2 linked regions of the Oryctolagus cuniculus genome follow. The protein of the gene in region 1 interacts with the protein of each later gene in a pairwise test. Links are inferred from orthologs where the notes say so. Each region holds a gene or a part of one and is shown on either strand. Other genes may lie near its edges.

Evidence for each region.
Region 2: the proteins of GLRX3 (region 1) and MAP3K3 interact in a two-hybrid assay, tested with the Homo sapiens proteins (2 studies listed by BioGRID and IntAct). The link is inferred for Oryctolagus cuniculus from reciprocal best matches to the Homo sapiens genes GLRX3 and MAP3K3.

What each region holds. Positions count from the first base shown.
Region 1 is NC_091446.1:2,024,241-2,029,191, forward strand, and holds part of GLRX3 (glutaredoxin-3), read right to left. Parts: intron 3,161-4,951; coding exon 3,121-3,160; intron 3,030-3,120; coding exon 2,937-3,029; intron 1-2,936. UniProt on the Homo sapiens protein: Together with BOLA2, acts as a cytosolic iron-sulfur (Fe-S) cluster assembly factor that facilitates [2Fe-2S] cluster insertion into a subset of cytosolic proteins.
Region 2 is NC_091448.1:15,078,568-15,083,518, forward strand, and holds part of MAP3K3 (mitogen-activated protein kinase kinase kinase 3), read right to left. Parts: intron 2,778-4,951; coding exon 2,656-2,777; intron 1,079-2,655; coding exon 986-1,078; intron 1-985. UniProt on the Homo sapiens protein: Component of a protein kinase signal transduction cascade. Mediates activation of the NF-kappa-B, AP1 and DDIT3 transcriptional regulators.

The DNA of each region.
Region 1 (4,951 bases):
GGAACAAACGGCGGCGCCCACTTAAATTACAGCAAGCAACAGGAAAGAGAGAGGAGCCACGTGATGAGAAAGCCCACTCAGACACACGCCCCGCTCCTGCGGCTCCACTCACAGGGAAAGGACAAGTAAGATTTTCCAGTTTGGAATCGACATTTAATTTGATGTGACATTTCATGTTGTCCCCAAGTAGCATGAGCATCAATCAGTGGAACCCCCGAAGTCCACACGACCTCCCCTCTGGGCTAACGCCAGCCTGCATGATTCTGCACACACACAACCCTCAGTGGAGTCCGGCCCTCCTCCTCTCCTGTTAAGCAGCAGCACTTTCCGAGTGGTGGGAGGCTGTGTGGCCTGGGGAAGCGTCTTCTCGTCCGCCGCCTGAGAACAAGAATTAGAGTAGCCCAGGCAGGCACCAGGAGCCAGAGTGGACACCCCAGTGTGCCCCTCGCATTCTCAACCCCTCTCCACAGCCGTTCAGGTGCAGCAGCAGGGCGAGCAGCCACCAGGCGCAGGCCAGCCCTGGGGACACCGAGGCCCTGGAGTAGCTCACGCTGTCTCCACTGACTCATCCAACAGAAGCAGTGCTCAGGGCCCCACAGGGCCAGCTGGACTCAGCCCACCCAGAACGTGCTGGACACAGGACGCACAGCTGCCCTTGATGCTAGGAACAGAACAGCCCGGCGTCCTGTGAGATATTCCCGCATCTGCTCGAGGAAAAATGTTAACAACATTACAAATTTCCAAATGCTCATGTTGTACCAAGTAAACACAAGAAGCCCCATCACCCGACTGCATCCCGCGCAGCTCAGCTTTTACAGTTAAATGAGATTTATTGATTGTGTCTTCCCAAGAGCTACATGGCGGAGGTGCAGGCTATAAAACACTCAGACAAGAACACGCTGGGAGAATCCGGGGTCTGAAGACTGTCTTACAAAGGACACACATACATAAAATACCCAGTGCAGATCTATTTTTGTTGCTTTGGGGCCATTATGAAGGTACAGTTCTCCCTCCAGGAGTGAGATAGTTTACTAAGAAAACAGGAAAACGCCTCACTGGCCTTTTTAAGAGGCATCACATCAGACCTGGAACTCGGGGACAAAGCTGCACAGGAGCAGCCACACGAAGCAAACGGCTGGAGCCGCGGTCAGGAGCACAGGACGGCCGCTCCTGACCTGACCAGAGGTGGCACTGCCTGCGCCACCTGTTCCGCTAAGCAGGCAGCCGGGGCAGGCTGGACGCAGTTTCCCAGCCGGGCCCCGGGGAGCTGCCACCCACCTTCACCTTCTGTGACCGCTGGCTCCCACCTCTCCAGAAAAGCCCAACCTCCCACTCAGCCCCCGCCCCTTGCTGTCCTCCTCCTCATCCCCAGTGTCCAGGGCGGGCCTGGGCAGGGGCGATGCTTCCAGGCACTGACGCTGCAGCTGCCACATGGGTTTGCACAAACCAGTGTTGCTGTGATGCACACGGGTGGGAAGAAGCCAGCCGTCCTACATCCTGGACCCGAAACATAAGGAAAGCCATGTCCACTTAAGAGTCCTGAGAGTTCACATAGAGCAAGTTAAAGCCCTTCATCCACCCCAGGAAAGGCAGGACAACAGGACGGATTCAGAACACACATGCTACCTGACACGAGGATTCAGAACGCACACGCTACCTGACGCGAGGATTCAGAACGCACACGCTACCTGACGCGAGGATTCCCTGGCATCTGAAAAGCAAAGAGGGATCTGCATCTTTCCCCAGGAGACCAAGCCCAGCGACCCTGGCTCTGGGTGTGGCAGGCGGGGCCGCGCCGGCTGTAGGCCTCCAGCAGCCTGTAGCCCACGGCTTCCTGCTCCTCTTCCCGCTCCATGCACTCGAGTGCAGACTAGCAGTCATTCTAATAACCAGAATGCTAACAACAAAGCAATAAAGGGACAGGCAACTTCAACAGCAGGAGCAATGCTTCTGGCTGCAAGAATCTGACTGATTCGCTGACAGGTTGGCCTTGAAAGACACAGAAAAGAGATTTAAATATAGAATTTGTAAGAAAATCCAAAGCCAAGGGGATGGTGGAGGAATGCCGAAAACCAGGAAAATACGACAGGAACCTCTGCCTGGCCGAGTACAGCACAAGGGAAACTAAAATCACGTAACCTGGCAGAGTGGACTCTGGCCGGCAGGTGGTGAAGAGGCGCTGGGGGCAGAGAGGAGGGCCTGGGAGGGTCTGGCAGGGCAAGTGCAGGGCAAGTGCAGTGAGAGGACACGACACTGTACACACAGGGACGCCCACCCTGGGCTAGAAGGGACTGAACAAGCAGCTGGAGAACAGACGGGCCCAGGGTCCACACCCAGAGAGACGGGCCCAGGGTCCACACCAGTGAGATGGGTCCAGGGTATGCACCCAGTGAGATGGGCTCAGGGTCTGCACCCAGAGATGGGCCCAGGGTCCACACCAGTGAGACGGGCCCAGGGTATGCACCCAGTGAGATGGGCCCAGGGTCTGCACCCAGAGAGACGGGCCCAGGGTCTGCACCCAGAGAGATGGGCCCAGGGTCTGCACCCAGAGAGACGGGCCCAGGGTCTGCACCCAGAGAGATGGGCCCAGGGTCCGCACCCAGTGAGACGGGCCCAGGGTATGCACCCAGTGAGATGGGCCCAGGGTCCACACCCAGTGAGACGGGCCCAGGGTCTGCACCCAGAGAGATGGGCCCAGGGTCCACACCCAGTGAGACGGGCCCAGGGTCTGAACCCAGAGAGATGGGCCCAGGGTCCACACCCAGTGAGACGGGCCCAGGGTCTGCACCCAGAGAGATGGGCTCAGAGTATGCACCCAGAGAGATGGGCCCAGAGTATGCACCCAGAGATGGGCCCAGGGTCCACACCCAGTGTGAAGCGTGGATTTCAAAGGCGCCCAGGTCTCCAGTTCTCAGGACAGCAGATGAGGAGCTTACCTTGACAATATCCAGTCCTCCCACAAGCTCTCCCTTCACGTAGAGCTGAGGGTACGTCGGCCAGCTGGAGTACGCTTTCAACCCTTGCCGAACCTAAACAGACAACAGGGACCCTGAAGCCTTCCTGTCATACCCTGACTGTTAAAACCAAGACTAAGGACAAAACACAAAATACAAAACTTACTTCTTCATCCTCCAGTATGTCGAAGGTTTCATATTCAATACTGCAAAAAGGAAAAACATTTCAACAGGAAGTAGTTTTTTTACACAAAAATCTAAAACCCATTGATGTTATTAACACAGTCCAGAAAAGCAGATCAACTTTTCCACTGCTAACATGTGCTACAGACCGACAGAATGACTTTACTTCTCGTCTGTCTGCTCCCACAGAGTAAATCATCCCAATTCAAACTGATCTGGATTCTTCTCTAGGTAATACAAGGGTACTTCAAAAGCTCGTTGAAAATAGAATTAAAAGATAATTTCGATGTTAAAAATTCTGAAATTCATGCATACAAGAAGTGGTCAAAGGACTGGAGCTATGGTATAGTAGACTAAGCCTCCACCTGTGGCAGCAGCATCCCATAAGGGCACCAGTTCGTGTCCCGGCTGCTCCTCTTCCAATCCAGCTCTCCTGATGGCCTGGGAAGGCAGTAGAAGATGGCCCAAGTGCTTGGGCCCCTGCAGCCACGTGAGAGACCTGAAGAAGCTCCTGGCTCCTGGCTTCGGATTGGCTCAGCTCCAGCCGTTGCGGCCATTTAGAGAGTGAACCAGCGGATGGAAGATCTCTCTTTGTCTCTCTGTCTGTAACTCTGCCTCTCAAATAAATAAATCTTTACCAAAAAAAAAAGTGTTCAGAAGGCTCACAGAAAATGCACATCGTAAAAAATGCACGGACTTCCCATTTTTCCCTTGAACTCTCTTAAGTTCCCTCGTACGGGGGTTATGGGGTAGATCAGGAGCTAGCAACATGCTCTCACAGGCCAACAGTGAACATTCCAGACTCTGCAGCTCCTCAGTTCTGTTACAGGGTATAGAACAGCCATAGCCACAGCCACGGCCAGAGCCACAGCGCCCACTTGCAGGGTGCGTGTGTGTTCCCACACCACCCGAGTCACAAAGCCTGCGGCCAGCTGTAGCCTACCGACCTCTGGAGCCCAGCACTGAGTGCGCTCAGCCCACTCCTGGCCCCAGCCCTCCTACGCAGCTGCTCTTTAATGCTCACAGAGCAGGATGGGGAAGTGGCACCACGCATAAAAAATAACTACACTTCCTATGAAAGGGAATCTGCATTCATACGGAAATCTTGTTTACTTAGTAACAAGTTCCAAAGAAAACTGCCCACAGGAACACTCAAAAAAAATAATAATAATAAAAGGCACTGATGATAGTATAAACAAGCAGCAAGTACCAACAAAGGAATGTTTAAAAAGCAAAAAAAAAAATCAAAGAAAAAAAGACAGGGTGAAGTCTTCGTTCCAGGCAAAGCACAGAGGCGAGTGCCTTCTACCAATGGTGAAAATTCTGAGCTACGGCCTGCCTGGGAAGGGCCACGACTGCGGTGGGCAGCACCCCCGCCGGCACAGCTCCACCCGCTCCGTGCAAAGGCAGCGTTGCGTTTCACACTCCTCACACTGCTCCTCCATGCCCCCCACAACACTCTACTACTGGAGACAAGGGTAAGAATGGATGAGAAATCAGAAAATGCAGCTTTCTCCCCACACTCACTCCCGGCAAGATGAGGCCTGTTCATGAGCCCTGCATGGTGAGCTCACCATGGCTGGCAAGTCTGAGTGGGAGCTCACTGTCTCCCAAAGAAGCCCCTGTGCTGGCGTAACTGGCACGTCCCACCCACCCAGGGTTAGACACCCCGGCAGAAAGCCCAGTCAGAGGCCGTTCTCTGACCCTGCAGGGCTGGCGCGGGCGGTCTGGCGAGAAGACGATGACCTCTCCCTGAAGGAGCCTGCGCTGCTGGCGAGAGAGGGCTGAGTGTGTCTCCCTGCACGCCATGGCAG
Region 2 (4,951 bases), on another chromosome or scaffold:
TGATGTTTTCACTGTCTATTTATTTATTTATACTAAATACTAGCATAAAATTTGGGGATTCAATTTTTAAACAGCCATGCTGGTTCCACAGTTTCAGATTCCCCCTAGAATAGAATCTGAGATAAGATTCCCATTGGTGGGCTTATCACAATACCTAGAAATTCATGACCTGTGTGAAAGGAATGAAAGGACCAATGAATCTCTACACCTCACCAAGCATATGCTTAATTTCTCAGCCAACAAATCAACAGTTCCTTACACAGTATATACATCTATGCTGTCCAACACAATAGCCACTGGCCACATGTAGTTATTCAAATTAATTAAATGAAATTTAAAATTCAGTTTCTTTGGCCGGCGCCGCGGCTCACTAGGCTAATCCTCCGCCTAGCGGCGCCGGCACACCAGGTTCTAGTCCCGGTCGGGGCGCTGGATTCTGTCCCGGTTGCCCCTCTTCCAGGCCAGCTCTCTGCTGTGGCCAGGGAGTGCAGTGGAGGATGGCCCAGGTGCTTGGGCCCTGCACCCCATGGGAGACCAGGAAAAGCACCTGGCTCCTGGCTCCTGCCATCGGATCAGCGCGGTGCACCGGCTGCGGCGGCCATTGGAGGGTGAACCAACGGAAAAGGAAGACCTTTCTCTCTGTCTCTCTCTCTCTCACTGTCCACTCTGCCTGTCAAAAAATTAAAAAAAATAAAAATAAAAAAATTAAAAAAATTCAGTTTCTTTGGCTAGTGGACACCACCTTGTACAACATAGATATAGGACATTTCTATTACATAGAAAATTTATTGGACAGCATGACAGAAGCTTCTTATAATTTTGCTGTGAGAAATATTGACTAGAGGCATAGAACACAGGTTGTAAGTACCAGTGCTCCCTACAAATCCATTTAAACAACTTGTCTAGGAAATCAACTCCACTCTTACAGCATGAGTAGCAGATTTAAAAGTACATTTTAGCTTTAACGGGTAATTTGAATCCTTACCAAAAATTTCTTTTTTTCACTGGCCCCTGCACATGAGCTTGTTGTTACTGTGGGGCTGTTCAGAAGGGCTGAGCTGCTGCTGTTGTGTTTTTTCTTTAAAAACAAAAAAACTGAGGTTAATAATTTGTATCCTCCAAGCAACAGAAACAGTTTGACATTAGTCAAGTAAATGTGGGTCCAAAGAGCCAGTCCCTTTTTGCTAAGATTATATGCTACTGGTCAATTCTTTTTGCAGTCTTCTGCTTTCGTTACTAGTGACCTCACTCCAGTAACACAGCAGCAGACAGAGTGAAAAATCGGGACTTCTCTTACAATAGCATTTAGGTTCTGCACAGAGGGATTTCTAAAATATAAACCCTCTTTTAAGAATTTTCAGGGACCACTCCAACCCTCTTTTCCTAGCCTAGTCCCTTTGGGCCTTCCCAACTCAAGAAAGCTTCCCCTTTTTACCCACCAACTAATGTCCATGGTAACAGTTCAGTTTGGAGAAAAAATCAGCTAACTGGAGCGGCATTAGCAAGCACACTCACATAGGAAGACAGGAAGGAAAGTGAGGTCATTAGGCTCAAGCTTGGGGGAGGGGACTCACTTCTGGTAAAATGTTCCTTCCAGAAGTGGCTTTTAATATAAATGAGTTACAGCACGGGAGAACCCACACAATCCAACAGAATAATGTATGAAACAGTACAAGAGTGGGTCCTCATCTGTTATTTCCTCAGTTCTATAAAGTAATCACGGTAACAAAAGCAGCTTTCTAAACTAATTCCATTAAAACATAAAACAAAAACTCATCCCTTTGTAGAGTTCCTAGTATTCCTAAAAGCAGGAAAAACCCTGTGAGGCTTTATCTAGCAGACCTAAGATAGAAAAATGTCTAAGGCCTTATACTTTCCCTAGGAATCAAGGGCACTTCTGAAGAATTGGTAGACACGGTGCAAATGAGGAGAAAGGTAAGCTGGTAGTAAAGATTACCACAAGGGAAAATGTCATGGACAAATTTTCATTAAATGTGCCTAATACAGCCATCTCACATAGCATTAGCATCTCACTAGGTATGGAAGCTCCCCTTTCTGCAGGTCAAATGACGTTAGAGGTTACAAGTTTAAATGTTAACAAAAAGGAAATGTTTTCCTAAAGAAACACACAGCTCTCAATAAATCAGGTACTCTCAACTACATGAGTCAATGAGTAGAAACAATTGTAAACAACAAAAACAAAATGACTCACTATTGCCTTTAGAACATATTATGCAATATTTTAATAAATAAATTTCCCTTCCTGATTATATTTTACATAAGCTAACACCAAAATTAATTTTTCCTGAGTATTTACTGTAAAGTAGCTAAAAATTATCTTAGGTTAAATATCACAAAGCTGAAAATTTGCTAAATAATCAATAAAGGAAAACAAATTATATGAACATTGCCCCCATAACAAGTGAAGGAATTTTTCTCTACAGGTGAAACACTATATACAAGATTTTGGGAATCCAGATCATGGACCACACGTGGTTAGTATATACAAGTATCTTTATCATGTAACAGACCCAGAAAGAAATGGGTCAACAGTATTCAAGCCTCTGGTATTAGTGTCCTTGGTTTCTCATATATTTCCCATTTCAAAACTCCTCCCCAACAAATATAGTTAAGCTCTACCAGAGCTACACACACCTGCCGATTTGGGTGACCCGTGTCCTTGTTCTTCATGGTCTCATATCCAGATACCCGGGGACGTCGGCTCATCTGGAGAGCCACCAGATCCTTCATGATTGAGTTCAATGCCTCTTGTTCATCTGCAATGTGAAAGAGAGCACATGGGATAAGACACAGAGCAGCAAAGCATTTTCACAGATTATATGACTGATACTCAGGGAGTTCTCTACCCAGGTAAAGTGACAGACTCTGTAATTACACCACATGCAGACCATGCCTCCCAAAAGTAGTTAATTGAGATCAGACTATGGCGACTTGAATTTTAATGAATTTTTAATAGCCCTTCACTCAGATTTCTGACAGCAATATTCATGAGTTCACTGCAAGTAAGGTAGGCACTCAAATAGAGCAGTTTGTCTAGTGACAGAGAAACTCAACCAGGAAAATAGATGAAAAGTTGGAGTGAAGAACAACACAGCATAGTGAAGTATTGACTGAAAAAATGAATTCATAGAAAGCTGACTAGGGGTCAGAGTCAGTCCAAGACTTACCCCTAAAACATATGTAGGAGAGGACCAAAAACCTCGGGTAGCTGCTTTGACAGAAGTTGTTTTACAAGCCTAGCCTTGGAATGCCTCCCCACATCAGTTCCTTTACAAGTTTATAGGCCTGCTTCCCATAGGGAAGTTGAAAGGCAGTTCTAGTGTTTTTCTTTACTAACTCACCAAGTAATGCACTGCCTCTATTTTACTGGCATTATTTTTAATCCCTTTTTCTTGAAATAGCATTGGAGTACTAGAGTTCTCATGCACTGAAAACAACTGGCCAAAACCCAAAAGCCAAAGTAGCCCAATTCCATGCTTTTTTGGGGGTATGGGGAAATGGGGTGACTCAGAAAACTTAATTTATAGACCTCCAAGTCTAACAAAATTAAAAGCTCTGCACAATGTTTTTTTTTAAAGATTTATTTATTTATTTGGAAGTCGGAGTTACACAGAGAGAGAGGAGAGGCAGAGAAAGAGGGAGAGAGAAAGAGAGAGGACTTCCATCTGCTGGTTCACTCCACAATTGGTTGCAACAGCCAGCACTGTGCCGATCCAAAAGCCAGGAGCTTCTTCCTGGTCTCCCACATGGGTGCAGGGGCCCAAGATGGTTAAGCGGCTCCCAAGGTAGGCCTTGCAGAGAGGGGCAGTGAGGTGAACTACGGGGCAATGGGCATACCACTTCTCAGATCATCCAACCTCTGCACCAACCAGCAGAGCAGAGGACAGAGGTGGATGGCAGGCAACACGGCCTGACCCAGGGACCCCACTACCTGACAATCCCAATTCCATGTTTTGCAAATTTTTCTAGGTCCTTCAAGAGATCTTTGCCCACTCAAATAGCATTTGGAAGTTGAAAACACATAAAACTGTTGATCTGGAAGGAACATGAGGGATGAGCTGTTAAAGTTATTTTTGTGACAAGTGAATCACTTGGAGATTTGGGGCACAACTTAAAAGAAGCAAATACTAAAGACTCACCCACAGAGGGAACCTATCTTTTGTCCTTTATTGTTGTCCCTTGATAATATTCAAATACCCAATGGAAAGGAAAGCTGCCTAGCGGCGCTGGCACACTGGATTCTAGTCGGTCCGGGCGCTGGATTCTGTCCTGGTTGCCCCTCTTCCAGGCCAGCTCTCTGCTGTGGCCCGGGAGTGCAGTGGAGGATGGCCCAAGTGCTTGGGCCCTGCACCCCATGGGAGACCAGGAAAAGCACCTGGCTCCTGGCTTCGGATCAGCACGGTGTGCCGGCTGCAGCGCGCCGGCCGCGGCGGCCATTGGAGGGTGAACCAACGGCGAAAGGAAGACCTTTCTCTCTGTCCACTCTGCTTGTAAAAAAAAAAAAGGAAGGAAAGCAAAGCATGGAATATAGGAAGTATAATCAGTCGAGTCACTTTCCCCATACTATTTGCCCCTCCCCTCTTCCTAGGTGCCCTACATGCCCTCTGAGTAGGTGCAGTAAAGGAAGAGAAAAAAGTGCTTATAAGGAGGTTTTTGTCTGTTCATAGATTTAAAATTTGCAGGGAAAACACAAGAGTAGATTGCTGTATGATTCTACTTCAGAACACAAAAGTGTGCATGAGCATGACACAGCTGCAATGCCCAAAGCACACAGTAAAGGGGGTATGAACAAGAAGGAAGTAGGCTTCTACAGAAAAGGGGCTTGTCAAAATCAAAACACATAAACCCCATGAACTATTTTATATTTTATAGCAAATTCTATATAAGTTCCTTAAAGAAAGGGAACTTGCTTGACATCTTGTTTTTTAAC